5 linked regions of the Oryctolagus cuniculus genome follow. Each later gene encodes a partner of the first gene's protein in a complex. Links are inferred from orthologs where the notes say so. Each region holds a gene or a part of one and is shown in the gene's direction. Other genes may lie near its edges.

Evidence for each region.
Region 2: PPP2CA (region 1) and STK24 share a complex: the UniProt entries of both Homo sapiens proteins name them as parts of the core of STRIPAK complex. The link is inferred for Oryctolagus cuniculus from reciprocal best matches to the Homo sapiens genes PPP2CA and STK24.
Region 3: the proteins of PPP2CA (region 1) and serine/threonine-protein phosphatase 2A regulatory subunit B'' subunit beta are in contact, whole or in part, in a crystal structure (PDB 4I5L), measured with the Homo sapiens proteins. The link is inferred for Oryctolagus cuniculus from reciprocal best matches to the Homo sapiens genes PPP2CA and PPP2R3B. Residues at the interface, in NP_002706.1 of Homo sapiens: Cys20, His63, Tyr91, Tyr92, Arg135, Lys136, Tyr267, Arg268, Arg294, Arg295, Gly296; in NP_037371.2 of Homo sapiens: Met410, Leu432, Asp436, Cys439, Gln440, Met441, Leu442, Asp443, Leu444, Lys446, Glu450, Gly451, Lys462, Leu463.
Region 4: PPP2CA (region 1) and STK25 share a complex: the UniProt entries of both Homo sapiens proteins name them as parts of the core of STRIPAK complex. The link is inferred for Oryctolagus cuniculus from reciprocal best matches to the Homo sapiens genes PPP2CA and STK25.
Region 5: PPP2CA (region 1) and STRN4 share a complex: the UniProt entries of both Homo sapiens proteins name them as parts of the core of STRIPAK complex. The link is inferred for Oryctolagus cuniculus from reciprocal best matches to the Homo sapiens genes PPP2CA and STRN4.

Annotation. Positions count from the first base shown.
Region 1 is NC_091437.1:22,497,381-22,502,462, reverse strand, and holds part of PPP2CA (serine/threonine-protein phosphatase 2A catalytic subunit alpha isoform), read left to right. Parts: intron 1-1,302; coding exon 1,303-1,512; intron 1,513-4,309; coding exon 4,310-4,483; intron 4,484-5,082. UniProt on the Homo sapiens protein: Catalytic subunit of protein phosphatase 2A (PP2A), a serine/threonine phosphatase involved in the regulation of a wide variety of enzymes, signal transduction pathways, and cellular events.
Region 2 is NC_091440.1:14,073,800-14,078,881, forward strand, and holds part of STK24 (serine/threonine-protein kinase 24), read left to right. Parts: intron 1-993; coding exon 994-1,102; intron 1,103-1,341; coding exon 1,342-1,499; intron 1,500-5,082. UniProt on the Homo sapiens protein: Serine/threonine-protein kinase that acts on both serine and threonine residues and promotes apoptosis in response to stress stimuli and caspase activation.
Region 3 is NC_091447.1:3,609,089-3,614,170, forward strand, and holds part of serine/threonine-protein phosphatase 2A regulatory subunit B'' subunit beta, read left to right. Parts: intron 1-290; coding exon 291-394; exon of another isoform or gene 395-650; coding exon 651-753; exon of another isoform or gene 754-977; coding exon 978-1,052; exon of another isoform or gene 1,053-1,286; coding exon 1,287-1,408; exon of another isoform or gene 1,409-1,503; coding exon of another isoform or gene 1,504-1,535; coding exon 1,536-1,590; exon of another isoform or gene 1,591-1,801; coding exon 1,802-1,958; exon of another isoform or gene 1,959-2,070; coding exon 2,071-2,119; exon of another isoform or gene 2,120-2,375; coding exon 2,376-2,465; exon of another isoform or gene 2,466-2,907; coding exon 2,908-3,083; exon of another isoform or gene 3,084-3,470; coding exon 3,471-3,592; exon of another isoform or gene 3,593-4,637; coding exon 4,638-4,738; exon of another isoform or gene 4,739-5,082. UniProt on the Homo sapiens protein: The B regulatory subunit might modulate substrate selectivity and catalytic activity, and might also direct the localization of the catalytic enzyme to a particular subcellular compartment.
Region 4 is NC_091434.1:282,732-287,813, forward strand, and holds part of STK25 (serine/threonine-protein kinase 25), read left to right. Parts: intron 1-1,478; coding exon 1,479-1,709; intron 1,710-2,244; coding exon 2,245-2,301; intron 2,302-2,626; coding exon 2,627-2,735; intron 2,736-3,534; coding exon 3,535-3,692; intron 3,693-3,777; coding exon 3,778-3,963; intron 3,964-5,082. UniProt on the Homo sapiens protein: Oxidant stress-activated serine/threonine kinase that may play a role in the response to environmental stress.
Region 5 is NC_091449.1:10,663,330-10,667,231, forward strand, and holds the end of STRN4 (striatin-4), read left to right. Parts: coding exon 1-52; intron 53-128; coding exon 129-269; intron 270-511; coding exon 512-610; intron 611-709; coding exon 710-796; intron 797-1,407; coding exon 1,408-1,577; 3' UTR 1,578-2,471; downstream 2,472-3,902. UniProt on the Homo sapiens protein: Calmodulin-binding scaffolding protein which is the center of the striatin-interacting phosphatase and kinase (STRIPAK) complexes.

The DNA of each region.
Region 1 (5,082 bases):
TCCTTTGATTTGTATGGCAATCCGTTGTGGTGTCTCCTCTGGTTCACCTCTGGCTTTTCTTCACAACACTTAACAGTCTATACTGTATTGTTACCTGGCTGTGGTCTTTCTCCCCTCCATGGCGCTGGGAAAGACCTATCATGTTCACTACTTAATCTCTGGGGGTCAACACAGGATCTAGCACATAGTGGCTGACACAGGTGTTAGGCAAGTGATTATTCAAAGAAACAAAAATATTTTGAATCATCCAAATAAATAACAAAGAATCTGTGTTTTAGGGCCAGAGCTGCGGTAGGTTAATCCTCTGCCTGCGGCGCTGGCATCCCATATGGGCGCCAGATCTAGTCCCGGCTGCTCCTCTTCCAGTCCAGCTCTCTACCGTGGCCTGAGAAAGCAGCAGAAGATGGCCCAAGTGCTTGGGCCCCTGCACCCACATGGGAGACCAGGAGGAAGCACCTGGCTCTTGGCTTTGGATTGGCGCAGCTCCAGCCGTAGTGGCCATTAGGGGAGTGAACCAATGGAAGGAAGACCTTTCTCGCTGTCTCTTCCTCTCACTCACTGTAACTCTACCTGTCAAATAATTTAAAAAAAAAAAGAATCTGTGTGTTTTGATAGTGTATAAGTAGTATAGAGAAGCTTCAAAATATGAACAGAGAAAATTTATTGTGTTATAAAAATTAAAAAATTATTAAAATCAAGTGAACTTTTTTTTTTAAGGTATATTTACTCATACATTTGAAAGGCAGAGCAACATAGGGTAGAGGTGATATGGGATCTTCCATCCATTGATTCGTTCCCCACATGGCTGGTGTTAGGAGCCTGAAACTCAGCTTGGGTCTCCCATGTATGTGGCAGGGTCGCAAGCACTTATGCCAAGGCCATCCTCTGCTGCCTCCCAGGCACAGTAGCAGGGAGCTGGATTGCAAGCAGAGCAGATGGGACCTGAACTGGCACTGCATCTTAGAATGCTGGTGTTGCAGGCGGCAGCCTAACCTGCTGCGCTGCTACAGCAGCCCCTGGTGGACTCTCTGGTATGTAATCAGATGGCCATTTGACAGGCTTGAACATTCCTATTATTGATGGGAATGGGCTGTGCATCCTGATAACATTTTTTTCTAGGTTTCGGAGATGAGATAGCAAAGGAATAGTCTAGCCATCTGATGTCTTATTTTTAATAGGATCATAAATTCTGACAATTTCATCTTAAACCAAGTTTGCCTCTTAAGCTGCATTAAATATAATTCAGTGTATCTTTGTTAATGTCATTTCATACTAAATATTGTTTTATGGTTTTGTCTGTAGGCTAAAGAAATCCTGACAAAAGAATCCAACGTGCAAGAGGTTCGATGTCCAGTTACTGTCTGTGGAGATGTGCATGGGCAATTTCACGATCTCATGGAACTGTTTAGAATTGGTGGCAAATCACCAGACACAAATTACTTGTTTATGGGAGATTATGTTGACAGAGGATATTACTCCGTTGAAACAGTTACACTGCTTGTAGCTCTTAAGGTAATTTCAGCTTATGTTTGATTATTTTGAACTGGGTAAGACAGTTCTCTCTTTTTTTTTTTTTTTTTTTTTGACAGGCAGAGTGGACAGTGAGAGAGAGAGACAGAGAGAGAAAGGTCTTCCTTTGCCGCTGGTTCACCCTCCAATGGCCGCCGCTGCAGCCGGCGCACCGCGCTGATCCTGGCAGGAGCCAGGAGCCAGGTGCTTTTCCTGGTCTCCCATGGGGTGCAGGGCCCAAGCACCTGGGCCATCCTCCACTGCACTCCCTGGCCATAGCAGAGAGCTGGCCTGGAAGAGGGGCAACCGGGACAGAATCCGGTGCCCCAACCGGGACTAGAACCCGGTGTGCCGGCGCCGCAAGGTGGAGGATTAGCCTATTGAGCCACGGCGCCGGCTCAAGACAGTTCTCTTGATTGTTGTTTCCTAGTAATTATTTTTTTCCTCTTAACTAAATGTTACATTTTAGAACAAAATTCTCTTGAGAAATGCAAATTATTCAGGTTTTACGTTTATAGGATTCTGCATTCCAAGCATAGGGTTGGGACAGAATGAAAAAGTGGGGAGAAGATAATGCCTTAGATTGTTTGAACAGTCTTAGAGGGCTAGCCAAATAGAAATGTATTCAGTAGATTCAGGTATGGAAAGGTAGTTGTTACCTTCCTAGTTAGTTTCAAAATATTGTAAAGGTACAAATGGATCAAATGTTAGAATGTTTATATCCTCTGACAGAAATCCTGTAATTAGAATGGTGCTGAGGAAGAAATAGAAGAGGAAAAGATTTTTGTGTAAATAAATTGTAGTATTTAATACCAGAAAAAGAAAGTACTCATCTAAATATCCACAAATTAGGGTTTATTGAGGTAGAATAGTTTGTGGCTGTTAAACATGACATAATGTAGATAGTGGAAATGGTAATTGAAGAAGGGAAGTTGCAAAATCATTTGAGTATCAGATGCAGCTTTGCAAAGTCCACAGTTGACAGGAGGCAGATGAAGCAAAGCTGAAAATAAGCTCTGAAGGTGGCCGGTTTCAGCTTTTCCCAAAAGAAACTGACTTGCCCTTCAGGGGGAATTTTTTCTTTTTCTGGGATTCAGTCTCATTAAAGAGTAGAAAGAATGATAAAATGTCTGCCATAGACTTTTCTAACATTAAAGAAGCAGTGCGTTGTGCTTTCAGCAAGGGCTGATTATGGGTAATTAGTATTGAACTCATGGAAATGTTAGGTACATTTCTGGAGGCCATTGTGTTCTGCCTCTATAAATGAAGACATGAGACTGGGCGGTGGAAGATTGTGTGAGAGCAGTGTGCAGCTAGCTGTGCTGTAGACCCAGGCTGAATCCCAGGAGAAGAGTGAATGTGCCACCTTTTAAGAATTGATGCAAGTGGGTGTAACAGGCTGAATTGTGTCCTCTCGGAATTCATACTTTGAATTCCCAACCTATAATACCTCAGAATGTGACTGTTGGAGCTGAGACCTTTACAGAGGTGATTGAGGTAAAATGGGGTCATGTGACTGGACCTTACTCCCATATGAGTGGTGTTCTTGTAAGAGATAGGACACAGGGAAGAAAATGAGAAGACAAATAGAGCCGATGCCCTTCTGTAAAGCAGACACAGAGGTCTGCAGAGAAACCCAACTGTGCTGACGCCAGGTTTCTGTTGCTTAAGCTGCTCCTCTGTTATGGCGCGGTGTTACAGCAGCTAGAGCAGACAGGAGTGGGGGAAGGATTGTCCTTTCAGCCGGTAGTGCTGAGACAGATGGATAAAAGTGAATTACAGACCTGAATATGAGAATTATGGCTGTAAGATTTCTAGGTTAAAACATAGAAAATCTTCCTGGTCTTGAGAGATTTCTTAGATATTAACAAAAGGAAATCAATTTAAAAAAAAAGAAAAACCAGACCTCATAAAAAAGTAAGGTTTTTTGTTCAGAAAATATTACTAAGAACAAAAATATGTATTTGAGATTTTTTTTTCCAAAAATCCTTAATACAACAGATATTTTATAAAAGACAAATACTTGAATAGATTTCACCCCAGCAGATACATGACTGGTAAGTACATGAAAACAAAAACACAACGTCATTAGTCAACAGGAAAATGCAAATTCAAGTCACAATGAGATACCATTTTGCATGGCTCAGGTACCGAGTATTTGTGAGTATGTGGAGAGATTAGCATCCTGGTTCATTGCTTGTGAGAATGTGAAAGGGTCTAGTCACTTTGAATGATTGTCAACAGGTGAAGCATAACTTACTATAAGCAAATTATATTCTGGAAATCTGTCTAAGAGAAATGAAAGCGTATGTCTTCAAAAACTGTACACAGGTGATCGTGGCAAAAATTCAAAATAGCCTAAAGAAAGGAAAGAAGCTACTCAACAGTGCCTCCTACCCATGAATACAGAATATGCCGTATAACGGTACTGTGAAAGACTGCAGCTGCACAGAGGAACAAACCACTGATCTATACTGCAGCACGGATAAGCCTTGAACATATTCTGAGTGGTGTTTAGTGCAGAAGCTATGTGTTTTTGTTTTTGTTTTTTTTTGTGTGTGTTTTTTTGTTTTTTTTTTTGTTTTTTTTTGCATTATTCTGTTTCTTATGGAGTTTGTAGAAAAGGCAGTCTCAGATAAATCATTGGATGGTAGGAGCATGGGAGTAGGGAGTGAGTGTAGACAGACAGGAGGGACTCTTATTGGGGGAATGGAATGATTAAAACTGGGTTTCAGAAAGTTTCCTGAATGTTCCTTTGGTGTTTGAAAGCTGTTTCATGGTTTCCATTCTGTTGTTGTAGGTTCGTTACCGTGAACGCATCACCATTCTTCGAGGAAATCATGAGAGCAGACAGATCACACAGGTTTATGGTTTCTATGATGAATGTTTAAGAAAATATGGAAACGCAAATGTTTGGAAATATTTTACAGATCTTTTTGACTATCTTCCTCTCACTGCCTTGGTGGATGGGCAGGTATATGTCTCAAACCTTTTTTTTTTTTTTTTTTTTTTTTTTTTTTTTTTTTTGTAAAGATTTATTTATTTGAAAGGCAGAGTTAGAGGAAAATATCTTGTATTGGCTGGGTCGTTCCTCAGATGGCCACAGTGGCAGTGACTGGGCCAGGTCGAAGCTAGAAGCAGAAGCCAGCTCAGAAGAGTTACTTGGACCATCTTCCCCAGGTGTTAAGTAGAGAGAAATCTTCCATCTGCTGTATCACTATCTAAATGCCCACAATACCTGGGGCTGTGTCAGGCCAAAACCATGAACTGGAAATACCATTCAGGTCTCCCACATGAGTAGAAGGGATCCAAGTACTTGAGCCATCATCCGTTTCCTTTCCAGGGTGTGTGTTAACAGAAAGCTGGATCGCAATCAGTCTCTGTCTCTCTCTCTTTCTCTCTCTTTCTCTCTCCCCCTCCCCCCCTCCCCCCCTCATGCAGGCTTCCCGGTTGCTGTGTTAATCTGCTATTCAGCCTGCCTGCCTGTAAAAGCTGTTTTTGAAGGAGTTAATTGAGATGGTTTATCAGGAAGAAAGGGAGTGTACTCAGTAGTTGAGAATGGCCTGGGGCAAA
Region 2 (5,082 bases), on another chromosome or scaffold:
TTCTTGCTTGCGTCCCGTAGGTGGTGAGAAATCTTCATTGTGAAAATGAAAATTCCTGCCTTTTGTGAACACTGAGAAGTACACGTGGAAAAGGCAGAAATGTGTTTCTTGAAAAAAACTCGTGGACAGACGACTCTGGGAGATGTCAGTTCAGGGGAGCAGAGTGTGCATATGCGGTCTCAGTCCAAGGAGAGATCTCACCTAGGGTTTGGGGTGCTTCCCGGCGGGTGGCGGCCCCAGACAGTTTGTCTCTCTCTGAGCAGCTAATAGGAAGTCAGACGAGGAAAAGCCAGCACCAGCTCTTTCAGCTGGGTCCTGAGGGGAGAAAGCCGGGAGCCCCAGGCTCCTCCTGGGTGTGTCCATGCCAGTGATCCATGGTATCAGGAGAGGCATCAAAGTCTGGGGATTGTGGTGTAGACCAGGGTGGGCCTGACAGAGGTGAGCCAGGAAGGAGTGCCTGGCGTGAGGCAGACTGTAGTGTAGGCAGTTGGGGGCGGGTCCCGGCTCCCCCCCAACACTGGGCCCCACAAAATCCTTCTGGGAGTCACTCGAGGATTCCTGAGACACAGGGAAGGCTCGTCATGTCTGTCCAGGAAATGGGCATGTGTCAGTCCCAGCGCTGCCCGAGGTAGAGCCGTCTACATTTTCATGCCTTTTGGTCTAAAGCACACTGCCCTCCTTACGACTTGCTGATGAACTCCATGAGGCCGTGTCCTGGGTCAGTGAAGGCGAGTGCTCTGGGCTGGCGGGCTGGCTGGCTGGCTGGCTGTCGGGTCCGCAGGTGCCACGTGGAGCACCCGCGTTCTGGCAGGCTCGCCCCGCCTCGCCTGTCGGCCGCAGTGCTGTTCCGCAGCCGGCTCTTGGGGTCCCTGTAGCAGCTTGTCCTGTTGACAGCAGTGCCTGTTTAAGTGCAGGTGTTCGGTGTTGCCTCTGCTGCCCGCACTGTCTGTTCCCTCACCGTCTCAGTGACAGTGTGTCTGCCTCTCTCGTCAGTTAGAGCCTGGCCCTTTGGACGAGACTCAGATCGCCACCATCCTGAGAGAGATCCTCAAAGGACTCGATTACCTGCACTCGGAGAAGAAGATCCACAGAGACATTAAAGGTGAGCACTGCGGGGCGGGGCTCCCTCCTGGGCTCCGACGGGCAGCGGAGCACTGCGGGGCGGGGCTCCCTCCTGGGCTCTGATGGACAGTGGAGTACTGCGGGGCGGGGCTCCCTCCTGAGCTCAGGTGGGCAGTGTGGTCCGTGACGGCTGTCGCGACACATGGTCCAGCTGGGGAGAGGATGTGCGTGTCTCCTCGGTGCCGTTACAGCCATCACACCTCCTGGGTTCCTTCGCAGCGGCCAATGTCCTGCTGTCCGAACACGGGGCGGTGAAGCTGGCTGATTTCGGAGTGGCGGGCCAGCTGACAGACACCCAGATCAAAAGGAACACCTTTGTGGGCACCCCCTTCTGGATGGCGCCTGAGGTCATTAAGCAGTCAGCCTACGACTCGAAGGTAAGGGCGGGCTCCAGGCAGGTGCCTGGGCTGGGCTTCCCCCTCCTGTGCCCACAGCTGCTGTGGTCAGACTGAGGCTGGCGCCTTGAAATAGGTCGTAAAAGAGGTTCTCCGACCCTGGCTGTGCCCCGTGCCTTCTGCCTCCTGCGTGCACGAGCCCCCGGCACACGCACTGTGGGTCTGAGGGTGTGGGGACACCTGACGGAGCGTGTGCCGGTGGAGGCAGGGGGACTGCGGTGCGAGGATGGGCGCGGCCTGCCTAGGAGATGCCCCGCGCAGGGCCCCGGAGGCGTGGTCTGCAGAGGGCACAGGTGGGCTTGAAGGCCGAGAGGCGTGGGCGTGGGCCAGGCCTTGGACAAGACTGATGTTTGAGGCCCCTGCATACAGGAGCCGGCGGGGGGACAGGGCGGCTGCAGGCCCTGTCCCGGAGCTGCAGAGCTGAGCCTTTGTGCTGGCTGCAGCTCCCAGCACTGAGGACTGGCCGTCCTTGCGGCATCCTGGTTCCCCGAGGCTCCCACTTGTCCGCGCTCTCACTCTCCCCGTTTCTCCTGCATTCCTTCTCCCTTTGGGAAGCCTTTTAGGGTGGACTGAAAACCCTGGGTGCTCCTTGCTGCCTGGGTCTCTGATGTAACGTCATTTCCCACCATCTGCTCCTGTGAGCGGCCTGTGCACAGTGAAAATCCTGCGTGAGCCACGGAATTGACTTTTCTGAGGCAGGAGTTTCTAGCAATGTTTAACTCAGATAGGTTTACAGGCCAGACACTGTTTCTCTTATTGTTTTTAGTTTAGCATCTTATCTGGGGCTCTGTGTATATTTACACACACAAACAACCCTCCCCCCCCCCCATTCGCCCCCATGGATTTATTCCCCAAATGCCTGCAGCAGCCAGGGCTGGGCCACACTGCAGCCAGGAGCCCAGAACTCCATGCAGATCTCTCATGTGGGTGGCAGGGCCCCAAGGACTTGAGCCATCACTGCTGCCTCCCAGGGTGCGCATTAGCAGGAGGCTGGACTAGGGAGCAGAGCCAGGACTCAGGCCCGGGCCCTCAGATGCTGGAGGCAGGTGGCCCAGGCGGCATGGTGACTGCCACGCCGAACACTCACTCCGCTTCTCCCTTTGAAACAGAAATGCTCTCAGTGTTTACTAGCTGGGCCAGCTTGCTAGCACGGTGCACAGTGCCTGGGTGACGCTCCTGTGGCCTTGCACTTGCCGTCGGCTCTCACAGGGTGTTGACGTTGTGGTTGAGGTCCTGATTCCTGTGGGGGAGGGGAAGGGTGGCTCTGGCTGTCTCTTTGTTGGGATTGTGGTCGTGGCTGGTGGGCTTTTGTCCCCTGGCAGAGCGCACATGTTGTGGGCGTTGTGTTTGTGGGTGTCTGGCCCCAGCTGTTGGGTTACCTCCGTGGTTAACCTCATCTCCACAGCACCTCTGCCATCGGCCTGTTTCCTGGGGTCATGTGATTCTGGGACCTGGCGAGAACTTAGGTCCGTGATGCATTCTCTTTGTTTTAAGCTGAAGCCCACTCATCTGATTGCAGCAGGGCTTAGACTAGACCCCAGGGTCCTAGTGCACCCACCAGGATTATCGCCCTCTTACTCTTGGTCTCAGATCAGCCGGGGTAGCTTGGCACACCACAGGTTTCAGTCTGTCAGCCACTGCCTGTGTGTCTGCTCCATGCAGGGCCTCTCTGAGTACCTGAAAACCCAGCCAGCCTGCTTCCCAGAGCCCTTGGCGACGTCGGAATGCTGCTGTCCCCCTGTGCATGTTCTCAAGGGGAGCGCACACTTGGGTGGGGAGCAGGTGACCTGAGAAACCCTGTCCCGGTCTCTGTCAGCCATGTCAAGAGCCAAATCTTCTGCTGTTTCTGTCGTACTCGGCAACCCTCCCTGGAAGTCGCTTCGCAGCAGCGTTTCAGCCAAGGCCGGCCGGAGGGGGCTTTCGTGGGCTGGGCCGGCTTGCTGCACTGCAGTGCAGGGCCGCTCTGGCTCCTGGCACACAGAGCCGCTTCTCTGTGGGTGCTTCCTCCTCCTGAGCCCGCGCCAGGTGGAGAACCTCACCCGGGGTGGCCGGGCTGCACTGGGAACGTGAAGAGTGTGCGTCCTGGGTGCATGCACCATCCCTGCCTTGCCGGTGTCTGTCTGTCTGTCTCGCTCCTTCTCCCCCCACCCCTGAAGGGACGGGGCTTGCAGACCGGCATTGTTTGTAGGCGTCTGGAACCTTATTTACCATTACAGCCTCTTTTATTTTATTTATTTTTTTGACAGGCTGAGTTGCCAGTGAGAGAGAGAGAGAGAGAGAGAGAGAGAAAGGTCTTCCTTTTGCCGTTGGTTCACCCTCCAATGGCCGCTGTGGCCGGCGCACTGCGCTGATCTGATGGCAGGAGCCAGGTGCTTCTCCTGGTCTCCCATGGGGTGCAGGGTCCAAGCACTTGGGCCATCCTCCACTGCACTCCCTGGCCACAGGAGAGAGCTGGCCTGGAAGAGGAGCAACCGGGACAGAATCCGGCGCCTCGACCGTGACTAGAACCCGGTGTGCCAACGCCGCAGGTGGAGGATTAGCCTAGTGAGCCGTAGCGCTGGCCTATCACTGCCTCTTGAACAGTGTTTCTCACCCCTTGTCACCTGGGCTGCTCGGCTGTCCTGAATGGTTCATGTGCACAGGGCTTCTGACGGGAGTCTATGTTCTTTGTCTGAAAACAGCATTGCCAGGCGCTCACTGCCCAGGCGTCTCAGGAACCTTGGTGCTTGTTAGTATTTCTAGGGTGAGTTAGGGAGGTGGTGCCCAGGGGGTACCTGTGCTCTCCCCTGAAGGAGCTTTTGGTTTTGCTAGAGCAGGGGCTTGGGCTGGAGAACGGGAGTCTCTTTGTGAGACTATTGTGATGCTTTGTTAGCAAGGGGATTGGGCCTGAGTAAAGACATTGCCCGTTTCATGTCCCTTTGTCCGGACTTACTCATGGGCTGCTGAGTGCTGTGTCCTCTGTCCTCTGTGGGGTGCTGAGTACTATGCCTTCTGCGTGGTGCTGACTACTGTGCCCCTCTGGGGTGCTGAGTACTGTACCCTCTGCAGGGTGCTGAGTACTGTGCCTTCTGTGGGGTACTGAGTACTGTGCTCTGTGCAGTCCTGGATACTGTGCCCTCTGCGGGGTGCTGAGTACTGTGTCCTCTGTGGGGTACTGAGTACTGTGCCCCTCTGCAGGGTGCTGAGTGGTGAGCCCCTCAGTGTGGTGCTGAGTGCTGTGTCCCTTGGCATGGTGTTGAGTACTGTGCCCTCTGTGGGGTGCTGAGTACTGTGTCCTCTGTGCAGTCCTGGGTACTGTGCCCCTCTGCAGGGTGCTGAGTGGTGAGCCCCTCAACGTGGTGCTGAGTGCTGTGTCCCTTGGCATGGTGTTGAGTACTGTGCCCTCTGTGGGGTGCTGAGTACTGTGTCCTCTGTGCAGTCCTGGGTACTGTGCCCTCTGCAGGGTGCTGAGTGGTGAGCCCCTCGGCGTGGTGCTTAGTGCTGTGTCCCTCTGTGGGGTGCTGAGTACTGTGCCCTCTGTGGGGTGCTGAGTACTGTGCCCTCTACAGGGTGCTGAGTGGTGAGC
Region 3 (5,082 bases), on another chromosome or scaffold:
TCCCTGTGGCTGGGTCGCTTTTGTCACTGCTGACCAGAGTGGCATTGCCTGTGCCCTCTCTGTTGCCGGGCCCTTCCTTCACATCTCTGCTGTCTGACAGCATGAGTGACACAGCCTCTGCCCTCCCTGTGTCTGGATCCTTCTTCTCCCTGGTATCTGGTTCCTTCCTTTCGCTGTTGTCTGTCGCTGTGAGTGGCACAGTCTGATCATTCCCTGTGACCAGGCCCTTCCAGTCGTTGCTGTCTGTCACCCTCATTGGCAATCTCAGTAACTGCCTGGTGGTGTTCCAGGCCTGTGGCTGCCCTTTGTACTGGAAGGGACCCTTATTCTACCGGGCTGGGGGCCGCCGCGGGGGATCCGTGTCTGTGCATACCTTCGTGGCCATGTGGCGCAGGTGAGTCCCAGGCATGCAGGGTAAGCAGGACAGGGGGCGGGCCTTGGGGATCCTACACCTGCTGGGCAGGAGAGTGTAAGGGGGGTGGGGCAGGGCAGGGCTTCCTCCAGGGGGAGTCCTGGGCAGGCCCTGCCTCCCCAGCTGCAGTAGCCAGAGGAGACCCTGGCTCTGCCTCCCACATGTGATTGGCAGAGGGGACCCAGGCCCCACTCCCACCTCCTGGGGACGGGGCTCCGAACGATGCTGATGCTTCCAGAATCCTCCAGGACTGCCACGATGAGGAGGCCAGGTTCCTGCACCTGCTCGCTAGTCCTGGGTGCGACTTCTTGGAACAGGAGGATTTCGTCCCCTTCTTGCAGGTGAGCACCCTGCCCCTCCCCCAGTGGGAGGTACACACGTCACACCTATCAATCACAAACCTCATACCTTTCAGTCACAGCTGTCAGTCACAGGTTATACCGCATACTTGTCAATCAAGTCACACCTGTCAGAGGGGAGTTCGCACCTCACACCTGTCACAGGGATGTCTTCACCTCACACGTGTCACACACCTCACACCTGTCACTCACTTCCTGTGTCCCAGGATGTGGTAGAATCACACCCTGGCCTCGCCTTCCTCAAGGAGGCACCTGAGTTCCACTCCTGCTACATCACCACTGTGAGTACCCCTGACCCCAAACCCAGTGTGATACCCAAACCCTGCCTGTAACCCCTGACCTTGCAGTGACCCCTGACCCTGCCTGGGTCCCCGTCCTGGGCAGTAAGAGGAATACACCTGGGTATAAGTTCGACTGTGCTGGTCAGAGTCACCCTGTGAGTGGCAGCTCCTTGTGAGTGGCGGCTCCTCCCGCCCTCTGTGAGTGGCAGCTCCTCCCTCCCTCCCCTGTGACAGCTCCTCCCTCCCCTGTGGCTCCGCCCCTTATGGGGGCAGGTCTCTCGGGCCATCTGCTCACTGCTGCCCTGGACTCAGGTGAGAGGATGCCCTCAGGTGAGGACAGATGAGAGGACACTCAGGTGAGCACAGGTGAGGATGTCTGCCAGCCACTGCCAACACGCCACTGCTGGTCCCGCCCCCTGCTAGCCCCAGCCCCACCCCATCTGCCCCGCAGGTCATCCAGCGGATCTTCTACGCTGTCAACAGGTCCTGGTCCGGGCGCATCAGCTACAATGAACTCAGGAGGAGCCACTTCCTGCAGGTGGGGGAAGTGGGAACCACCTACCATGATGGGAGACCCCGCCTCCTGGGAAAGGAGTCCCTGCTCCCAGGACAGGAGACCCTACCCCCAAAGAAGATTCCACCCTTAGGACAGGAGACCCTAGTTCCCCACCCAGCAGGAAAACCCACCCTCCACAACCTGAGGTCCTGAGCCCCACCTCGTTCCCATCCTGAAGCCCCGCTCCCCGCAGGTTGTGGCGCGGCTGGAGGAGGAGGCGGACCTGAGCCTGACAAGCGGGCTCTTCTGCTATGAGCACGTCTATGTCATCTACTGTACCTTCCGTGAGCTTGACACTGACTGCGACCTCCTGCTGGGCAACTGTGACCTGGCCCGGCACCGCGACCACGGTCGGGGACCCCAGGGACCCCAAGACCCCTTCCCAGGGACCCCCCCCATGCCGACCCCAGCCTCCTGCCCTGCCCTCTGCATGGCTCACAGGCCCTGCCTCTTCTTCCACAGCCATCTCCGACAAGATGATTGACAGGATATTTTCAGGTGCTGTCATGCGGTAGGTGGGGTCCCCGGCGGGGGAGTAGAGGTGATGCCATCGTGTTGAGGGATGACATGGGTGATGACATCACAGATGATGGCATCACAGGTATTCATCACACCAGATTGGGGCAGTGTGGACAGCACTGGAGGGGGACTCAGGGCCAGCACAGGACTCCTTGGGTTCCCCATGTGGGGCTGGACAGGGATACCCCCAGCTGGGAGTGGCCCATGCTGAACCTGCCTGTGTGTCTGCTGGCTACTGCTGACCACAGGGACAGGACGGCACAGAGAGCAGGGAAGATGAGCTACGAGGACTTTGTGTGGTTCCTGCTCTCCGAGGAGGACAAGACCACGCCCACCAGGTGGGTCTGAGGGCCCCCCTTGCAGGCGGATAGTGGATGACGCTGGACACCATGGGCTCACTCCTCGGCCCAGGGTGTGGTCTGGGTCAGGAAAGTGGTCAGCTTGGGTTCTGTGAAGTCAGCAGTGTCCATGGTGTGGCCAGTGGTAACTTTGGGGTTAGTATGGTCAGCAGTGCCCACTTGGTCAGCTCAGGGGATCAGTGAGCAGAATCTTTTGGGTGATCAGTGGTCACATTGCTGTCAGTGTGGTCAGCAGCATGGTCAGGGATCACTCCACGGTTAGTGTGGTCAGCGGCTGACTGCCATCTCCCTTGACAAGGCAGCATTGAGTACTAGTTCTGAATGGACCTGGGTGGGGACTGTGTCCCTAGTGTGGTCAGTGGTCACTCTGGGGTCAACATAGTTTATTCCCCTACTGACTGCCACCTACCCAACTGGGCAGCATCGAGTACTGGTTCCGCTGTATGGACCTAGATGGGGACGGGGCACTGTCTGCCTTTGAGCTTGAGTTCTTCTATGAGGAGCAGAGCCGCCGACTACGCAGCCTGGACGTCGAACCACTGCCCTTCCCAGACTGCCTCTGCCAGATGCTGGACCTGGTTCGGCCAAGGACCCAGGGTAGAGACCCGCCCCTTCCCTTCCCAGCCCCCACCATGGAGGTCCCTTCCCTTGCTGGCCCTGCCCCCTCCCCATCTCCAGGGTCCTCAGTGGCTGAGATCCACTTACCAGGTCCCAGCTGTTTGCCCACAGGGTCTGGAGGGCGTTGCTGGCGAGTGGTCCTGCAGTCCCCTCTGGCCATGGCCAAGGCGTCTGGGTTATCCCCCTCCACCACGTCCATCCCAGCATCCAGGCCTCCTGTGCCCCTGCTGCCCAGCACCTGCCTGCATCGTTTACTCTGATTTCTCTGAGGCCTCTCTGGGTCCACATGTACATCCCCCACGTCTGGCCCTGGCCCTGGCCCTGGTGTCCAACCCCACATCCATGCCCTTGCATCCACCCCCATAGGCCGCATCACGCTGGGCGATCTGAAGCGGTGCCGGCTGCTGGCGCCCATTTTCTTTGACACCTTCTTCAACGTGGACAAGTACCTGGACCGTGAACAGCACGAGCAGTTGGCCCTGCCCGGGGTGAGGCTGCCTGCTGACCCCTGCTGACAACTGACTGCTACTGACCACAGACACCACTGACACAGGGAGGTGGGAACTTCCTGAGGAAAGAAGCTCCGTTGGCCTCTATCACCCCGCTGCCTGGCAGCAGAGGGGGTCTGAGCAGGCGGCTCCTTAAGTCTAAATTTCTGGCTTTGCTTGCCATGTCTCCAACCCTCGGCAGTCCCCTCATACCCATGGCTCCCTGGGAAGCTGGGCGGAGCCAGTGAATTGTTTTTTAAGCCTGGGGCCAACAGGGTCTTCTATGACCCAGGAACCCTTTGACCCCCTAGCCCTCAACCAGGGCATGGAAACAGGAGCCACTGGGGGATGGGCTGGCCTTTTGGGGTCACCATGATGGCCGATGACCTTGTCAATCACCCATTAACTGGCATGAATTTTTCTCGGTCTTCTTCCTCCTGGTCTCTCTTACAAAGCTGACCTCGGAGGTGGCCATGAGGACTTCAGCTGAGGGGGTAATGCTTGGTCCCACCCCTAATCGTTTTTATTTAATATTTCCTGGAATATCAGGAAAGTAATGGTCATGGCTAGATTCTGTCATTTTTTTGTATTTTCCATGTGAATTAAGATGATGCCCAGGAGAACTATGTGCTTGCAGCTCAGAGCTGATGTGCTAAGCTGCCTAAATGTTGATGTCATCATGACATCATGTAATAGTTTGATGTTATTGGAACTAGAGGCATCACTAGTAGCATATTGGCATCTTGATGTCATCATGACATTATCTATATTATGACATCAACAACACTTCCTATCTGCCCATCACTTTGGCCAGGCATGATGGCAGAAGGATCTTCCTCACTGCTTTTGTAAATCTGATGACTGATGACCTCTGCTGACCGCTGACCACTGCTGTCCACTAACCAATGCTGACTACTACTACTCACCAATGACCGCTGCCAACCAATTGCTGATGGCCCCTACTTGACTGCTGCTAACCATTGACTGCTGACCTCTACTGACCAATGACTGCTGATTACCACTGCTGACTGCATGCCTCCTGCAGGACGGTGATGGCCCTGAGCTGTCAGACTGGGACCGTTTCGCAGCCGCCGAGTACAGACTGCTGGTGGCCGAGGAGGCAGCAGCACAGCTGTGGGAGGACGGGTTAGTGCTGGATGGGGGAGGGGTGGGGGTTGGGGATGGGGCTGAGAAGAGAGGGTGGAGTACGACTTCCTGTGGTGGAGGGGCCCCAGGAGATGTCAGCAACCTCAGAGGACTGTCCTCATACTACTCAGAGGAGTCTGGCAAAGCTGGAGAGGTGGGGCCGGTGAGAGGGGTGGGGCTGGAGTGAGGCTGGGAGGGAACTGAGGGAGGCAGGGCTGGGGAGGAAGTGGTAGAGCTGGGGGGATGGGGCATAGATGGAGGTGGGGCCCGACAAGGAAAGCCCAGGACCTGGGCGGGTCCACCTCTCCCATGTTCAGAGGGGTCCACTAGAGTGGCAGCCGCAC
Region 4 (5,082 bases), on another chromosome or scaffold:
CCTTGGGGCCGCCGCCCGCAGTGCTGGCATCCCACGTGGGTGCCAGTTGGAGTCCTGGCTGCTCCACTTCGTATCCAGCTCCCTGCTATGGCCTGGGAAAGCAGTGGAGGATGGCGCAAGGGCTTGGAGACCGGAAGATGCTCCTGGCTTCCGGGTTTGGCCTGGCCCAGCACTGGCCGTTGTGGGCATTTGGGGAGTGAAGCTGCAGATCTCTGTCTCTCTCTAACTCTGCCTTTCAAATAAATAAAAATAAATCTTAAAAAAAAAAAAGGAAAATTCTGTCTTGATGACACTCAGGGCCTTAACCCCACTCCCACCTCTACAGGTTCCCCTGTGGGGCAGCAAGCCACTAGGATCCTGGGGTATGGGGGCTGCCCTTCACCCTCGGCCGGCCGTGTTTCTGAGGTTGGTCAGCGCTTGGTGGCTGGAGCATGGTGTTCTCAGGAGCCCAGGGTCTCTGGGCAGTGGCTGGGGGACACCCAGAGTGACCCTGGCCGTGGGAGGTGCTGTGATGATGCTCCTGGGGTGGCCCAGGCTCAAACTTAAGAGGGTGGTTTATGCCGAGGACCCCTCTGCCAGCCTCTGCGACCTGGGCTGCAGACCTGGCGCCTCCCCCACCAGAGCCTGGTGACCCTGACGTCTTGCCTGCTTAAACCCGAGGACCATGTGGTCAGCGTCTGTGGAGTTGGAGTACCTGGACTCAGGCTTCTGAGAAAGGCCAGTGCTGGACTCTGCTGGTGTGACCCTGGTTCCGGGGTGGGGAAGTCCTCCAGGGGCTGTGGCTGTGATGTAGGGTCTCATCACCACAGGTTGGGTTCTGTTGTTCTTAATAGATTGTATGAATATGTTTTTAGATCTATGAGTTTATTTGAAAGGCAGGGTTACAGAGAGAGGGGGAGAAACGGGGGTCTTCCGTCCTCTGGTTCACTCCCCAGATGGCTGCCATGCCTGGGGCTGGGCTAGGCTGAAGCCAGGAGGTGGAGCTCCATCCAGATCTCTTTCGGGGTGGCAGAGGCCCAAGCACTTGGGTCATCTTCCGCTGCTTTTCCAGGCACGTTGGCAGGGAGCTAGATCGGAATTGGAGTAGTCAGGACGGGAACCCGTGTTCATAGGGGATGCTGGCGTCACAGGCGATGGCTTAACCCGCTGCACCACAGAGCCAGGCCTTAGGTGGCATTTTGTAGGAATGGTTTTGGGGTGATAGAGTCCCTGCATCCCTGCCTGCCTCCTGGGGGTGCTGACCTGCTGGTATCTTGCACAGCTGTGGACATGGTCCCAGGTGCTCTGTGTCTTTCCCTGAGGAGCTGCTGCCTTACAAGGAGAGGGAATTGTAGTTTTCTGAACAAAAAAGGTAAAAGATAAAACCAGAAAAGGACTGCCCCGTGCCTGCTGCAGGTCCCTGAGGTGTGTCCCCCGGGGAGCCTCTGCCTGTCCAGCCCCTGACCGGCGTTGCCCACCCTGTCCCTTGGGCCCTGCAGCACCCCCGCGTGGACCCCGAGGAGCTGTTCACCAAGCTGGACCGCATCGGCAAGGGCTCGTTCGGGGAGGTGTACAAGGGCATCGACAACCACACCAAGGAGGTGGTGGCCATCAAGATCATCGACCTGGAGGAGGCGGAGGACGAGATCGAGGACATCCAGCAGGAGATCACCGTGCTCAGCCAGTGCGACAGCCCCTACATCACCCGCTACTTCGGCTCCTACCTGAAGGTGGCTGGGGGGCTTGGCGCCTGCCTGGAGCACTGGCCGTGTCTGCCAAGTGCTCCACGGGGTGCGCTGCCAGGGGAGCCAGGAGGCTGCTGGGGGCTTTTCCTGTTGGGGTTCCTCGGGGGGACAGCCCTGGCTGGCTCCTCCCCACTTGCGACTGGGAGGGGTCTGTGGACTCCACACCTGGGCCTGCTTCCCGGCCACAGCCAAGAGCTAATGGGTTTCTTTTCTTTATTTTTTAAGGCAGAAATCTTCTATCTGCTGGTTCACTCCCCAAGTGGCTACAGTGCCTGGGGCTGGCCTGGGCTGGGCCATGCCAAAGCCGGGAGCTCGGAGCTTTCTCTGGGTCTCCCACAAAGATGTGGGGGCCATCTTCTGCTGCTTGTCCGGCTGTGTTAGCAGGGAGCTGGGTTGGAAGTGGAGCAGCTGGCTGCACTTGAACTGGTTGCTCATGCGGGGTGCTGGCATTGCAGGCAGTGGCTTAACCTCCACTCCACAGTGCTGGTCCCAAGAGCTAATGGCTTTCTCTGTGTTCCAGAGCACCAAGCTCTGGATTATCATGGAGTACCTTGGTGGTGGCTCCGCACTGGACCTGGTAAGGTGTGGGCCCCAATAGTGGGCGGCTTGCTGTGGGGGGTGTCACAGCTCCCGTGGGCCTCCTCTCGGTGTTTTAATGGATTTGGTGTTCGGAGGGATCCTGGTCCCTGTCGAGGAGGGTGGCAGTGCGCCCAAGTGGGTGGTCCAGCTGGGCCCCGTCCCCTGCCAGGCTTTCAGTGAAGGTACAAGCAGGCTCGCCTGCCCTGGAGGGACCTGGAGCCTCAGATGTGCACAGGGCACCCCTCTTGGAGGGGCTGGAATCGAGGCCCCGGCCTTGTGGGGGTGGGGGAGCCGAGGCCCTGCTGTCCCGTCTTCCCGTGCAGCTGAAGCCCGGCCCCCTGGAAGAGACCTCCATCGCCACGATCCTGCGGGAGATCCTGAAGGGCTTGGACTACCTGCACTCGGAGCGCAAGATCCACCGGGACATCAAAGGTCCTGTGGGGGCCGGGCTGTGGGCATGCTGCCACGGGCCTGGGTGTGGGGGCCCTGTGGTCCTGCTGCCGTGGGGGGTGGGGGGTGGGGGCCGGGCTGTGGGCGTGCTGCCACGGGCCTGGGTGTGGGGGCCCTGTGGTCCTGCTGCCGTGGGGGGTGGGGGGTGGGGGTCGTGCTGTGGGCGTGCTGCCACGGGCCTGGGTGTGGGGGCCCTGTGGTCCTGCTGCCGTGGGGGGTGGGGGGTGGGGGTCGTGCTGTGGGCGTGCTGCCACGGGCCTGGGTGTGGGGGCCCTGTGGTCCTGCTGCCGTGGGGGGTGGGGGCCGGGCTGTGGCCATCTGGGGGCTCCATTTCCAGGAAGTGCTGTCAGTGGTGCAGCTCAGAGGGTTTGTGGGACCCCACCGTGTGGCCCCCTCCTCACTGTATGCGTGAGGCTGCACCTGCCATGGGAAGGACTTGTCCAGGCTGTGAGGATGCAGCCAGCCAAGCAAGGGGCTTCCTGGCCAGCTTGGGTCAGGTTCAGGATCAGGGTCAGCTCTGCAGGAGCCTGTGGGGTGCTGCTCTGGTGGCACATTGGGTAAGCCAGTACAGAGAGGGCCCTAGAGCTTAGGCTGGGCAGTTCAGGGTCGGCTTGCTGGGCTCTTGCTGGTCATGCCCTGGAGCCCATGTTGGCATGGGTTTGAGTGTGCCAAGGAGAGCTTAGGTACCTGGGAGGGGGTCCCTGGGTCAGGCAGCCACACGCAGGACTGCCTGGGGGCACTGGGAGCTGAGGCTGACGCGCCCCTGTCCTGTGTCGAGCAGCCGCCAACGTGCTGCTGTCTGAGCAGGGCGACGTGAAACTGGCGGACTTTGGGGTGGCCGGGCAGCTCACGGACACGCAGATCAAGAGGAACACGTTTGTGGGCACGCCCTTCTGGATGGCGCCCGAGGTCATCAAACAGTCTGCCTATGACTTCAAGGTGGGTGACAGCGGCCAGGGCTGTGGGTGCCGTGGCCTCCTCGGGGTGCCGCACGCAGCAGTGGTCCTTTTGGCACCCTGTGCAGGCCGACATCTGGTCCTTGGGAATCACAGCCATCGAACTTGCCAAGGGGGAGCCCCCGAACTCCGACCTGCACCCCATGCGAGTCCTGTTCCTGATCCCCAAGAACAACCCACCCACGCTGGAGGGTGCCCACAGCAAGCCCTTCAAGGAGTTCGTGGAGGCCTGCCTCAACAAGGACCCCCGCTTCGTAAGGCCCGCCTCACCCCCTGACCCAGGCAGGCTGTGGCCTGCGCAGCTCCCAGAATGGGGGGGTGTTCACCCAGGGGGCAGCAGGATTCAGAGGTGACTCCCAGCCTCGGTGCCCATCCTGTCGTGTGCGTGGCCTCCCTGGGGCAGCGCCCAGCCTGTCACGTGTGTGGCCTCCCCGGGGCAGCGCCCAGCCTGTCACGTGTGTGGCCTCCCCAGGGCAGCGCCCAGCCTGTCACGTGTGTGGCCTCCCCAGGGTAGCGCCCAGCCTGTCACATGTGTGGCCTCCCCAGGGCAGCGCCCAGCCTGTCACGTGTGTGGCTTCCCCGGGGCAGCGCCCAGCCTGTCGTGTGCGTGGCCTCCCCAGGGCAGCGCCCAGCCTGTCACGTGTGTGGCCTCCCCGGGGCAGCACCCAGCCTGTCACGTGTGTGGCCTCCCCAGGGCAGCGCCCAGCCTGTCACGTGTGTGGCCTCCCCAGGGTAGCGCCCAGCCTGTCACATGTGTGGCCTCCCCAGGGCAGCGCCCAGCCTGTCACGTGTGTGGCCTCCCCAGGGCAGCGCCCAGCCTGTCACATGTGTGGCCTCCCCAGGGCAGCACCCAGCCTGTCACATGTGTGGCCTCCCTGGGGCAGCGCCCAGCCTGTCGTGTGCGTGGCCTCCCCAGGGCAGCGCCCAGCCTGTCACGTGTGTGGCCTCCCCAGGGCAGCGCCCAGCCTGTCACGTGTGTGGCCTCCCCAGGGTAGCGCCCAGCCTGTCACATGTGTGGCCTCCCCGGGGCAGCGCCCAGCCTGTCACGTGTGTGGCCTCCCCAGGGCAGCGCCCAGCCTGTCACATGTGTGGCCTCCCCAGGGCAGCGCCCAGCCTGTCACGTGTGTGGCCTCCCCAGGGTAGCGCCCAGCCTGTCACATGTGTGGCCTCCCCGGGGCAGCGCCCAGCCTGTCGTGTGCGTGGCCTCCCCTGGGGCAGCGCCCAGCCTGTCACGTGCGTGGCCTCCCCAGGGCAGCGCCCAGCCTGTCATGTGTGTGGCCTCCCCAGGGCAGCGCCCAGCCTGTCACATGTGTGGCCTCCCCAGGGCAGCGCCCAGCCTGTCACGTGTGTGGCCTCCCCAGGGCAGCGCCCAG
Region 5 (3,902 bases), on another chromosome or scaffold:
TGGGACCCCAGCGGCAGCCCGGCCTGCCTGTGCACCTTCCCTGCAGCCAGCGGTGAGCGGGGGCCCCTGGCCGGGCGGGCGCTGCTCCCGGGCGCGGCCTGTCGGCAGCCTTTACCCTCTGCCCCCAGGGCACGACGTCCCCACCTCTGTGGCCTTCACCAGCACCGAGCCCGCGCACATCGTGGCCGCCTTCCGCTCAGGGGACACCGTGCTGTACGACCTGGAGACGGGCAGCGCCCTCCTCACGCTGGAGTCCCGGGGGAGCAGCGGTAAGGGCGGCGGCGTGGGTCTGGGCCCAGCTGCCTGGCACTGCAGATGGCTGCCCCGTGCCCTCGGGTTCAGGGCAGGAAGGAAGTGAGGCCCGTGGAGGGGCCCGCCTGGGGCTCTGGGGTGCCCGCCTGCCAGATGGACCGAGGCGCGAGAGAGTGGGCAGCCCCCGGGTTCTTCTCGCTCCTCTGGTCTCCCCAGTTCTCCCTTCCACACCTCCCCTCTTCACCCCTTTTCTTCACAGGCCCAACCCAGATCAACCAGGTGGTGAGCCACCCCAGCCAGCCCCTCTCCATCACCGCCCATGACGACAGGGGCATCCGCTTCCTGGACAATCGCACAGGTGAGGGCCCCAGCCCCCAGTGCAGGGAGAGGGCGTTCTGGGGCCCACGTGGGCGCATCTTCTCCAGGGCCTGCCTCCCCCCCCGCCGTCTCCCCCCAGGTAAATCCGTGCACTCCATGGTCGCCCACCTGGATGCTGTCACCTGCCTTGCCGTGGACCCCAATGGCGTCTTCCTCATGTCAGGGAGTAAGTTGGGACCTCCAGTCCAGGGTTGGGGAAGAGCAGAGGAACACGCGGGCAGCCCCGCGCCTGGACCCGCCAGAGGCACTTGGCCTGTCGTGGCCGCTGGTGCTTATGCCCTGTCACAGACACGGGGACGGCGGTCCAGGCCTGGCTGGCGGAACCCCACGCAGGCCTGAGCGCCGGGGCCACCCCGCTCTCCACATCCGGCAGCGGCTTGGAAGGGGGCGAGGACTTGATCCAGGGGAGCGGGGCTTGGGGAAGGGGCTTTGTCAGGCAGGGGCTAGCCGAGTGGCTGAAGCAGGCGGTCTCTCGCTGCTGGGGTCGTCACGGAGAGCCCGGCCTCGGAGGGCGGCTGTGCGGACGGTCAGCGGCACCCAGCGTGGGGCATGGAAGACAGCACAGGGCCCCATCCCCGCGGGGAGGGCGTGTCCTCAGAGCTGTGGTGACCCCGCGGAGGGGGCCAAGCCTGCCCGTGTGTGCAGAAGGATGGCTCTCGTCTGGGTGGGCGTTGGGAGGTGATGGAGCAGGGGGCTGGGGGCGGTGGGTCGAGGCCCTGCCACGTCCGAGGCCCGCAGACAGGCCAGGTGTGGGCTCAGAGCTCCTTGCCCGCGCAGGCCATGACTGCTCCCTGCGCCTGTGGAGCCTGGACAACAAGACGTGCGTGCAGGAGATCACGGCCCACCGCAAGAAGCACGAGGAGGCCATCCATGCCGTGGCCTGCCACCCCAGCAAGGCCCTCATTGCCAGCGCCGGCGCCGACGCCCTGGCCAAGGTCTTCGTATGATGCCCACTGGCCCCGCCCTGGCTGCTGCGCTGGCTGGAGAGGGGCCGGGCCGGGGGGGCCCAGGTGAGGGGCTGGGGCCCTCTGCGCTCTGGACGGGGAGGCAGAAACCCCACCCCTGCCCGCACGTGGCCCGGACATCTCGCTGGCACTGCCTGCTTGGCCCGAGTGCCCGGTGCTGGAACTGCTGAGGTGACCCCACCGTGGGCACGGGCACTGGAGGCTGCGCTGCAGTGTCGTCCCCGCCTCCCCCGTCTCCTGCAGGTGACTCCGCCTCGTGCCGAGGCTCAGAGGCCTGCGTGGAGCCCGGTGGTGCTAACGGCCCTTTCCCCGGGAGCCCCTCCCCTCGGCTCTCCTGCCCCACACCCCAGCCTGGGCTGGCCCCTCAAGGACGGCCGCTGGGGTCTTCCTCCCTGTCCCACACCCACTGCCTTCCTGAAGGCAGCGTAGCCGGGTGTGGGGTGGGTGGTCCTTGGGGATGTTTTTCCAAGATGCCAGAAGGTGCCAGGCTCTCTCTCCTCTGGGGCCCCGCCCTGCCCGCCACCCCCCCACCCTGGCTGGGAGCCACACTGGGAGAATCCCCGAGCCCCCCTCCCCTGCTTTCCAGACACTAACCCAGGCCTCCAGGGCCTGAGCTGCCTGGGGGAGGGGCCCCCGCCCACCCTGTATATCTGTACAAATAACCGGGATTGTAATGGCGTCCGCCCCATGTTATCACTGTGTGATAGTCAGCTCCCCCCCCCCCCCCCCCCGCCACTCTTCTCTATTTATTTCACTCTTCTTTCGGGTCTGCCCTGTGCCCTCCGTCCCCACTTCGGTTCCTGTTTATAAGGCCCTCCCCCTGCCCCTGAACTTGGATGTGAAAACTTGTCTCAATAAACCCTTTGGAGTAAGGTGGGTGACCGAGCGGTCTTTTGGGGTCTGGCTGGGCGGAGTTGGGGGGGAAGGATACTGTGGTTGGGGTTTTGTGGCAGAGTGGCGAGGGGGACAGGAGGGCCCTAGGGCGGAAGTGGGGGCACAGGACCGCATCTCCTGCTGCCCCTCCTTGCTGTCCCCAGGGGCAGAGCCCTGACCAGCAGGTGTGCCCTGCCCCACCTGGGCACGTGGGGTGGGCGGCGGTGAGGCCGTGGGACCGGTGAGTCGGGGGCCGGCTGGGCAGACCTCGCGTCACCTCTTCCTCCTGGCACTTCGCTGTGTTCTGAGGCAGGTTGGAGATGAGCCCTGGGGGTGGGCGGCTCGGGGTCCCCAGCCAGCCCCTGCCCTGAGCCCTCCTCTGCCTGCCTCACTCCCGCTGCCTGCTGGGGGTGCAGGGCACGGGCGGTGGGTTCCCCGTGGGGGTCAGCTGCACGCCAGGGCGGGGGCGCCACGTGGCCTGGCTGCCGCGTGCCAGGCTCCAGGCCGCTCCCCCAGGTGCTGGTTTGGGTTTTCGCTCCAGCCTCAGACTTCCTTCCTTCCTCAGCCCCAGCCCCGGATGTGGTGACAGAACCGGCACCGTGCCGGCTTCAGCTGCCCCCTAGAGCCCTGTGCCGAGGGCGGGGGGCTCCTCTGTGCCCCAGCTGCCCCGCTGGCCGCGAGCCAGGCCCAGGGGTGGCCTCTCCCTCAGGATGCCTGTGCCACTCAACCCTGGGCCCGGCCCTGCCCAGGGGGGCGGCTTGGACAACCTGCAGCTTCCTGTGTGTAGGCTGAGCGCTCCGGGCTACTTGGTCACAGAAGTCAGTTGGAATTGTTCGGAAAGGGGCCGGGGGCCTCCGCAGATGCTGGCCCCTGAACGCCCGGTGGTCCCAGGTGCCCAGCGCTTCCTCTGGAAATCACGAGTGACAGCCACACCGACCCCCAGGGGCCCCCTCTTACAGACCCATCTACCAGGTGCCCCCCAGCTAAAGCCCCCGAGAACACAGCTCTCCAAGTAGGGTGGCCGTGTCGTCCTCCCTCAGGCCCCAGGGCTGTGGCGCTCCCGTGTGCGGGGCAGGGGGTGCTGATGGATGGAAACCCCCCCCCCCAACCTGTCCCCTCAGCTCCGTGCTCTTTGCCCAGCGTCGCTGGGAGCTGGACGGGGGCGTGGCGGGAGCGGGCGCAGGAGCTGAGCCCTGGGACTTGCCACCCCGTTTCCGACCCCTTCCCCTGCGGTGGGCGCCGGATGCAGCCGGCTGCGGCGACTCCCCGCCGCCGCGACCTGCGGCGCGGGCGGGCGAGGGAAGCTCGCCCCTCCCGAGCAGCTCCGAGCACAGCCGGCTTTCCGGACGCCGGTGCGCAGCGGGGCGGAATCCGTCCCGCCCGCCCGCCCCCGACTCCGAGGCGCTGGGTCCGCCCTCCCCTTCCGCCCCCGGC